Caenorhabditis elegans: one gene and its partner. The protein of the gene in region 2 interacts with the protein of the main gene of each other region in a pairwise test. Each region holds a gene or a part of one and is shown on either strand. Other genes may lie near its edges.

Region 1 (4,783 bases), on a different chromosome or scaffold from region 2:
GCAACGAATGAATTCAGTTGATTTCATTGGTTTTCATCCGAACATTCCTTTCGTTCTTGCATGCAAACTGATCTCCAGATAAAGATAAGGGAATTTGCAAGGTCATCTTGGTCCGCATTACTTTCCCGTTGCATTATCCTCTTCTCTTTCCGTAAACAATTCTTCCGACTAATTGAACCTTTCTCCCTCACCTATTCCCTCTAATTCTACCCGTCTCTCTTATTCACTCTCGTGTTAACGATGACCGCCGTTATAGAATCAAATACTCCAATCAGTTGTTATCACAACTTACCCGATTAAGAAAGGAGTTGCACCATTTTGTGAACGTCTTCTTCTGAATGTGCACACGTTCGTCCTGCAGTGTCCGAATGCGTGATCTTTCAAAGTACAGTGTCTCATTATTGAACTCGTCTTGATCTGTTCCATTGGCATCTGCGCGAACTGGTGGTGCACCACTTGTTGGAACACGAACCTGAAAAAATCATTATGAACTTGATGCTAATTGAACTGTTAAATATTTCTAAACGTTCTCAGTTTTTTTTCGGATCTTTAAAACTTTCCAGAATAATATTACGGAACCAAAATTGTTACATATAAGGAAAAACAAATATTTACTAGCTCAGCGTCTTTCCGTTTTGACAGCATAGCCTTCCTAACCGGGAGAGACGCTTGCCGACCTTAATGATAAACAGAAATAACATAGAGTGTATGAGAGCACGTCAGCTGACTACTTTAAGAAAATGAATGATCTCCAAATGTTCATGAGTCATGAACAATTTATAAAACAAAAAAACAGCAACTACCTGTTCTTCAGGTAATGTTCTAACACTTGGGGTTGGAGATGAAGCTGTTGATTTCATAGATATTGAATAAATTAACTTTTTCGGCATGACTTTTAGAGCAAATATAAACAACTACTACAATCTGACAAAAATATTAGATGTGTTGGCTTGACTATTGGCAAAATTGGGATTTATGTTTCAAACGCGTAATCGGATTATCTTAAAATCCAATCATAATAGGTTTAAACATTCATTTTCGATCTACAGGTTGATGCTACTTTAAAAAGCCTGTCTAGTTCATAAATATAAACTTGCCTGCATTTCGTATTTTCTCATTTTGTCTTCAACGTTGTCTTCAGATACACCGTCGTTCACTCCTTCGCCGTAATACTCGTGCTTCTGATGTTGGTGATAGTCGCGGTACTGGTAGGGTTTTACTTCCCCACTCGATAATCCAGTACTGCTCGTCGCCTGATAGTCGTTCTCCGGTAAAGGATCTCTAGGTGTTCTTCGCAAGTGATCGAAGTCAACGTTTTCGCGACTTGGGGCAATCTCCTTGCGATACCCTTCTACCTTGTCTGAAAAATATACATTTTAGTTGATAAATTTGAAAGTTTCTTGAGTAGTTAAGTGACTAATAGATAGAGAAAAAAGAAAGACAAGTTATATATACATTTCTGAAGAGAATAATGATCAAAATGATATGCAACAGAGACGCCCACGTGGCACAAAAAAGACAAAGATTATTAATATTTGGAATCACATCGTTTTTCAGAGAAAAAGTTTGAACCTAACTTACAATTAAAACGGGAAATTGTATCCAGCAACAAAATACTTTCAAGAAAAGTGAAAGATTTTTGAAATAAAGAAATGTTTCGCCGAACATAAACAGTGAAAGAGTGGCACACGTGGTACACGTGGCATTCCTATGTGTGCGACTATTTTCTGTGTGTGTGGGCAAAGTTCACGTAATAATGTTCACGTGAAATATGACTTATTAAGAATTTGTACGTCGGATGTCGTACGACGACGCGACACAAACAAAGTTAGTAATATTTAACTGGAATCAGAAAAGGCTTACAAAAAAGAAAATGGAATAATTGGAAAGCTTTTCGAATGAAATTTTTTCTGAGAAAATGTTGGAACTATTCTGCAATTAAACAAAAAAGAGACGTGTTTAGCAATCGCTATAAATGTCCAGCAAAAAACATTGACAGATTAAATTTCAAGTAAAAAAGCAGAGAAAGTTCGAAACGTCACGAAAATTTTCAAAATTTTAAAAGTAAGGTATATTGTGGAGGTGGGGGCGTTCCCCGTGTTTATTACATCTGATAACAGCGTCTTATCACTGCGAAAAAGAAGAATGAGTCACTGAAATGTGCTCCGCGGGATGGTTGCTGAACTCATTAGTAAAGACGAACCCAGGGGGCAAAAAGTGAGAACAGAAAATGGATTAGACAACGGAGGGAATGCTATTGGAACTTTGTTTATTTTAGTGAAGCAATCTGTCACAGCATAGAGATCCCAATAAGACAGATACATAAATATCTCATACTTGGTAAATTGCAAATCGAAATGACACAGAGGACAATGATTCACTTTAGAATAGCGACAAAAATATGTGGAAAGAGAAAAAGTACTAAATTGTATTGACACTTCAACACTACCACCTATCACTGTGCCCTTTTCCTTCACGGCTCTATGGACGCTCTACTGATGGTATGCAGTGTTGCATATTTACCCTCTCGCCACTTCCATATAGAGAGAACGAAGAAATAAAGAGAGAAAGGAATGCAGCAGACTGTGAGAATGTGCAAGAATGCATATAACACAACAACACCAAAATTAGCAATATTCATACAATTTTTTACTTCGATCTATTATATATTCAAGCGCCAAAATTTAGAAGACTACTTAACACAAATATAAAAATTTAGAAAATTTGTTTGCAGAAACTAATTTGCACCTACTTTGATGTGCCCAAAATCAAATTAATAATTTCAGAATTTTTTTGAAAAACTTATTACAAAGAATTTAAAATGAAAGAGCACATACCATTGAGATTTCGAACTGTTTTGCCTTCTCCAGGCGAGTAGCTTGCCGCGAACGACACATACGACATGATAAAGCTTCACAATATTAGCAAGAATATATTATGTATATAGCAAAGTCGAAAAATAGTAAGTGGTAGTATTTCCTCCGTTATGAACAGTCTTGACAATCCGTGTTCGATTCTTGTCAGATATGGAGAAAAAGGGTCAAGGAAACACGGCGACACTCGGACAGTAGCCGTGGTGGTTCCTCCTCAGTCTTCAGAAGGTAACTTCTTATATAATCTTTATCTCTTCTGTGTTCAATTGCAACGACGTCCGGCGTTCGTTTATCCTTTGCCGAGTCTCTCTATACAATACTATCCGAATATGATGAGAGAGAGAAAGAAGTAACGGAGAAAGTGTCGGAGACGATTAGAAGACATCCATCGATCGGCGCGATGGATAAAAAGTATCGAATATGTGTATTCGCCTGACGGGAAAAGAACGGAAGGAATGTTCAGCGGCGGCAACAATTGAGTGGTGGCCGAAATGGGCGAGAAATCGAGGATTCCGGTGGCGGAAATTGACAAACACAAAAATAGCTGACCGCCACAGTGGGGCACTTGAGTTCAAACATGTCTGTTTCAAGAGCCAGGAAGAACACCGCTTTTTGTTCTTATCCATGAGCAGCCCACTTATTATTATAGTTTTTTATGATTTCTTGTTTATTGTTGACAATATTTGTTGACTTCTAGAAAAAGACATCATACATGTTCTTGTTCAAAGTTTTGGCAAATTGCCAATTTTCGAAAATGTCGGTTTTTGGAAATGTTTAAAACAATGCCTCATTTTTGGACCTATAAAATGCTTAAAACATAATCCAAATATGAGAATATTAAAATGTTTCGGACTACTTCAAAAATTATGAGTGGAGGACATTTAGTTATTTTGGTGTTTGCCTACAAAAAACTTTTTCAAATAAAAGTCTTATTATGATATTCGTATATTATTTTAGGGAGAGTTTCTGATAGTTAATCCCACTGGAGTTACTTTAAACAGGCATGACAGGAATATGCACAGGCAACTTAAGAATACTAAGTATCTCTGAACAAACGAAAAACTTTAATTACTGTAAAACTTCTAGTTATTCAGAAAATTATTTTAGAACAACTTTTCGACAACGCATATGGATCAATTCTTCAAGGAAAAAACACACCCATTTCTAGGAATTCAATCTATTCATTCAACGCGTGTATACGTTTCCATTTGTGTACTTATGATGAGTTGAGTTCGTCTGTCAACACGGATGCGTCAGAGTTGACGCATTTCGTTGAGGTATACTTGACCATAAACGCCGTCATATTGACAATGATATTGGCATGATTTATGGACGGGTAACAGGTCGACAGGTGTTTTGGGAAACAACTTTTGAAAAGAGAATGGAAATGTAGATAAACAGAGCTGTACTCCCGACTCAAACATTTGCCGAAATCTGAAGCTGACAAAATACGACTAAGTTTCTTTCACAATCGTGTAGTTTACAGTAAAAAAAATCTTTAAAAGAGTACTGAATTTTAACCTACAGTCAACAAACTTTTTGTGGCAAAGAGGAACAGAGAACCAAACAATTCCACGACAACCATAAAAACTGCGAGCCAAAAAATCAAGACTTTGAAAGGATGATAAAACAGTGAGAAAACACACATATTTTGGCAGAAGGCAGTGAAATGAAACGGACAAGAAAAACGTAGGTCTCTCCTTTTTCAAAAGAAAAGTTTCTTTCACCACCTAATTCAGTGTATCTAGTTGTCCGATCAGTCGAATGAAAGACGAAATCTCGACAAAACCGACACCGACAGTCGTCCACTACCACCTTACAAGTAGTATTCTTTACTTTTTTGAAAAGTGGAAGTGTGAGAATGTAAATGCGATAAGTTTCGTTTAGTATTAGCGAATAGGAGAAAGAGG
Region 2 (5,053 bases):
ACATATTCTTTGTATACTGGAGAAGTATATGTGTTATTTTTTCGCGCCGCGATTACAGAGTTCTGTTCTGATTTGGAGGAGAGAAATAATCGAACCTGAAAATATTTTGTTGGGAAAACGTTATAATTATTTCCATATAAGAATGACTCGAGCATAGTCGTTCCTGATACTGATCCATTTTTACATTTTTTTTTTAACCCCAACTGACTGTCAACTTGAGAGGTACATATTCAAAATTAAACGAAAATTTTGCCAGACATGACGATTTAAAATTTTCAATTTGAGTTCAAAAATTAACTGCTTCGGGGAGAAGAAAGCCTAGTGATAATTTTGGATTTCTCCCATTTATTCAGTACGTTTGGCAATGTTTTTTGTAAAATGACGATTCCAGGTTTCGGCACGATCGAAATAATTTTAGATGAAGTGAGGGCAGAAGAGCGTGCACCTTTTCGAGGAATGTTATGACTTGATTATTTTTTAGCGCGGTGGAAAGTGAGGAGAAGAGGAAAAATCAAATAAAATTGAAAAAAAAACTGGGAAGTGATTTCTACAGTACCCCTTAAAGGCACACACCCTCTTGTGTGATGTTTGATATGAACGATGTTTCAATCGTGCTGAGACCTTCAAATGTGGATTCATGCATCAAAAACTTGAATATTTTCCCAATGACATTTTTTTTAAAACTAGTCACAATGAAAGTTCAATAAGCTGCCTAATCCATTCTGATGAAAATGTGCTTTCAGTAAATAATACTTATTATGTTCAGAAAATAACTTTTTGAAAAATTACTTCGAAGTATTTCAACCAGAAAACAACAAGTTTTTATAAAACGCTGAAAATTGTTTGATTTTCAGAACTTAAATAAATTTTTTGAAGCGTCAATAACTAGTGTAATAAAAATTAGGATATATGCAGAGATTGAAAATAATGCAGTATTCTGACGCCTAGTTGTTCACAGATCATCTGTGATTTTTAAGTTCGCATAACCCAGTTCAGAGTGGAGAGCAAATGCGGTGGAAAAGAAGATCAAAGCCTATAAATATCATATAATTCCTAATTTTTCTGGTGTTGAAAGGTGATTGGAACATATTTTATACAAATTCAGTTTGGTTATCTCGTTACGAAGTCTACAGTAACTTTGGAAATGCTACCGTAACCTCAGCGTCTATTTTTGACGTTACGGCAGTAATTTACAGTTACTGTAGACTTCGCTACGAGATATTTATTGAGTCAAATATTCTGCACACTTTCATTTTTCGATGTGGTAATTCAAAATAGAGGTTCAACATTACATTCGCTGCAACCCATAAAAGTTACATGCACCTAAAATGTTGTTGTTTAGGATGGATTCGAAAAGTTTGAACTTGATGCCGCTTTTGAGATTGTTATTTTCTCCTTGTTGTGAGGTTCATATGTCGAGTGTATCGCGAGATATTTGTCTGTGATTCAGGAGGAAAAAATAAAAGTTTTTCGCTAGTTTTGAAGTTAAAACTGTTATTCAATTTCGAATCTAGCAAAGAACACGAAAATGCTATATGAATTTTCCGTTTCAAGGTTGATATAATTGTTGTTTTACTTTGAAGTAGTTTGTGATGTTATCCAACTATTAGAATTAACTAAAATCATTTTTCATTTTTTGTGATATAAAATGTTATATGCAGATTTGACGAAACACTGTTCATTTTCAACGTAAATGTTGAAAAGGTTTGGAAGTGTATATTTTCCTTATCAGTATTGAAATTTTTCATCCGGAAAGTCGACATTTTTTAGAGGCCTATTGTACGATCGCTAAAAATGGGAAGAACAAAGGATGAATTAGTTTTTCGATACCGAATAGTTTCCAATCTACCAAAATTTTAAAATACTATTGTTAACAATTGTTGAACAGTACTGAATGCCAATAGGCATTCATTTCTGACAATCAAAAAACTGGGTCTGTTTCTGAAAAATCGTATCCACAATGTTCAATTTTCAGCATTTCGCGTGATTACAAAAGCTACAAATACAGTTTTAAAAAAGATTGCTGTTTTCTCGTTCACCGAAAAAGGTCAGCCACAAAATACCCCTTACAATCTTTCATGATTAACAGCAAGCCAGAAAATTGTCAATCTAAATTTGTTTTATTAAATCCATTTAACTATTCTCTTGTGTTCTGTGGAAAATGTTTTCTTTTTCAGAAACCGGCATATAGTCCGAAAAAGTGCATTACTCCATTATCTGCTTTTTGATGAAAATTCGGATTTTCAACTTTAGTATGTACTTCTTCTGTTGGAATTAGTGTACCCTGTTTAACTGTATTTTAGATACATATGGAGAGATGTTATGTGTGACGACAATGATCAGCAATCAGAATCGGAGTCATTCCCGCTGCGTCCGCGTGGTTTAAATTATTTTCCTAATATTCCATTACACAAATTTAATAATAACCAGGAAAGTTCAGAGTCGGAAATAATAATGTCCATCATATAGCTAAATTAAACACAAAACATTTTTAAATGTTCTTCGCTTAATTGGCAACACTTTTCTGCTATTAAGAGCGTTCAAAAAACTAGGTGGCCGCTTTGCATTCACTAGAGAAACATATAACACGTGCAAGCACAGAAATATTTTGATTATTGTAAGACCAGACTGCAATCTTAAGCGTATATCATACACTGGTTCACTAACAAAACAACTATATACTTGTAGAAGAAACTATACAGAGTGGATCAGTTCAGGAAGACGTGGATCGATTTTCTGAATACCCCAACACAAACCTCAGCCCCGTGAATCATCAACCGATCTTTTGTCATTGCAAGCCTCGCATCATCATCGGAAGAAAATCCGACGAAAACTTCTCCCTCGTCTCCGCCAATAATATGCACAGCCCCATCAGGAATTTTCAAACCGGTGAAAAATGTACGGACATCCGAAGCGCCTGCCGTCATCGGCAAATTTTTCAGACGGATTATCACCGACATCCTCGTCAAAAAATGGAGGATATATCAAACTCCTAACTTTAATTAGTTCGCTTCAAATCTGGAATGAAATATCAGCATGAGACAATGAACTAAATTGCAGAAATATAGAATGACAATAAAATTCAGAGAGACGACGGCAGGTGACCATTTTTTGCATATTTTCACCTTGAAAATAGATATACCTTCAGAAACAAATCTTTAGAAAACAAAAAACCTAACTGAAACTATTAAAAATTCGCTGAAAACGTGTAAAAACCGAAAATATTGACTAACGAGAGCAAAAATCGACAAGAAAAAAAGCTGCTACGCAAAGCGTTGCGTGCGCGTCGCGTGTCAGTAAATTCGCTCCACTGCGAATTTAAAAACAGAAAATGGCAAATTATGCAATTAATTGCAATTTTTAATGGATTTTTCAGGTGGAAATCTAAATGAAATGAACGATGAAATTATTGCGATCACTCAATTATGGAACTCTATGCAAACTATCGACTTCAGCGCAATCCTTGAAAAAATCTTCCCGACTTCTCAAAAAGCAACCGAAGAATAAGATCTCTCTGACACCAAAATTTTTGGACAATGTTAGAGAATGGCCGAAGATCTTTGAAGCAGAAATCGAAGCGCAATTTGAAAAAGTAAAAATCTGAATCGGGATCAAAAATATATTATATTTTCAGCTTGATGAGATGATCCGGAACAAAGTAGGATGGAGAGTGATCGAAGAACGTGGGCTCTGCGTTGGGAATCTGATCGTGACTTCAAAATATTACGATTCATATTGTGGAGAGGTAATTACCCTATCTGGTGACGCAATTTTAAGAACGAGATGGCTTAAAGCAGGAACTCCAGTATTGTTGAACAAACTGAATGAAGATGGTCATTTGCAAAAAGTGTCCGATGGGCATGTCGTTGATTGTACTGCTGGAATCGTGAAAGTATGCGCTTACGACGATAAAAATGTGGATTTCTCAACACTCAATTACATTCTCACTCCATCAACAAACAGCGGAGCTCTAAAATTTCTTCAAAGTGTAATTAAGTATGGTGGCTACCGTATACCAGACTTGAAAATATGTATTCAATTTTTCAGGAATCCATCATCATTATCCAGTGATAGTGTCCATTTAGTCAATCTCGCCTATCGATCAATTCCAATGCCCTCTATTCATGGTATTTTCAAAGAAGTTGAATTCTCCTCAATTAAAAGTTTTCAGACAGAAAAATTGGAAATCTTCCGGAAACACTCAATCCAAGTCAGGTAGCAGCAGTTTCAGCAGCAATGAACACACAAAGAAATCTATTATGTATTCAAGGACCACCAGGAACTGGAAAAACTCGTGTGATTGCTGAAATTGTTCATCAACTGATGAAAAAGAAAAAGAAAGTTTTGGTTTGTGCCCCAACACACGTTGCTGTACGGAATGCAATGGATGCAACCACGGGAAGAATGATTGAAGAAATGCCTGAAGAGAAAGCCGAACAGCGTAAGAATTTGTAATTTTTTTTTTCAAATATCTATACTTTCACAAGAATATCCTTGAAAAAGTTAAATTTAACTTCTGTAAAGCCAATATTTAATTGTATGTTGTTTCAGAACTGTGCCTCCTCGCAAACACGAAAGATGAGTTTCAAAACCACAAATCCGCTTCAAAGTTAGAAGAAATCAAAAAGCAACTTGTAAGTGAGTGTTAATCATCCCTATCCTCAATAATTTTAATTTTCAGTCAACAATGAGTACATCCGATCCTCTCTATAAAAAGATGTCATATGAATACTATTTAATTCGAAATTCTATTTTTCGAAGTATCTTCTATCCAAAACTTGCTGTTTTCTCAACATTGGGAACATCTTCAATTCAAAAACTACCGGAGTATCATTGGAATGCAGATGTCATGATTGTTGATGAAGCTGCACAATGTACGGAACCTGCGACTTGGGTGCCAGTATTAACCACACCATCTTGTAAGAAACTCATTCTTGTTGGAGATCAGAAACAGTTGCCTGCCGTTGTTTTATCAGACAAGTGAGTTTTCAAAAATGTCTAGTTGAGTTTGAGGATATCCAAAAATTATTTCAGAGCGATGAAAGGCAACTTC

The links.
Region 1: the proteins of rbm-12 (region 2) and sma-1 interact in a two-hybrid assay, tested with the Caenorhabditis elegans proteins (one large-scale study listed by BioGRID).

What each region holds. Positions count from the first base shown.
Region 1 is NC_003283.11:11,897,685-11,902,467, reverse strand, and holds the start of sma-1 (Spectrin beta chain), read right to left. Parts: upstream 3,020-4,783; 5' UTR 2,905-3,019; coding exon 2,838-2,904; intron 2,561-2,837; exon of another isoform or gene 2,389-2,560; intron 1,361-2,388; coding exon 1,098-1,360; intron 473-1,097; coding exon 293-472; intron 1-292.
Region 2 is NC_003279.8:10,120,426-10,125,478, reverse strand, and holds the start of rbm-12 (RRM domain-containing protein), read right to left. Parts: upstream 3,021-5,053; 5' UTR 2,961-3,020; coding exon 2,757-2,960; intron 96-2,756; coding exon 1-95. Other genes in the region: Y106G6D.5 (Helicase ATP-binding domain-containing protein), read left to right, coding at 3,401-3,592, 3,635-3,996, 4,048-4,127, 4,172-4,441, 4,552-4,634, 4,682-4,980, 5,035-5,053.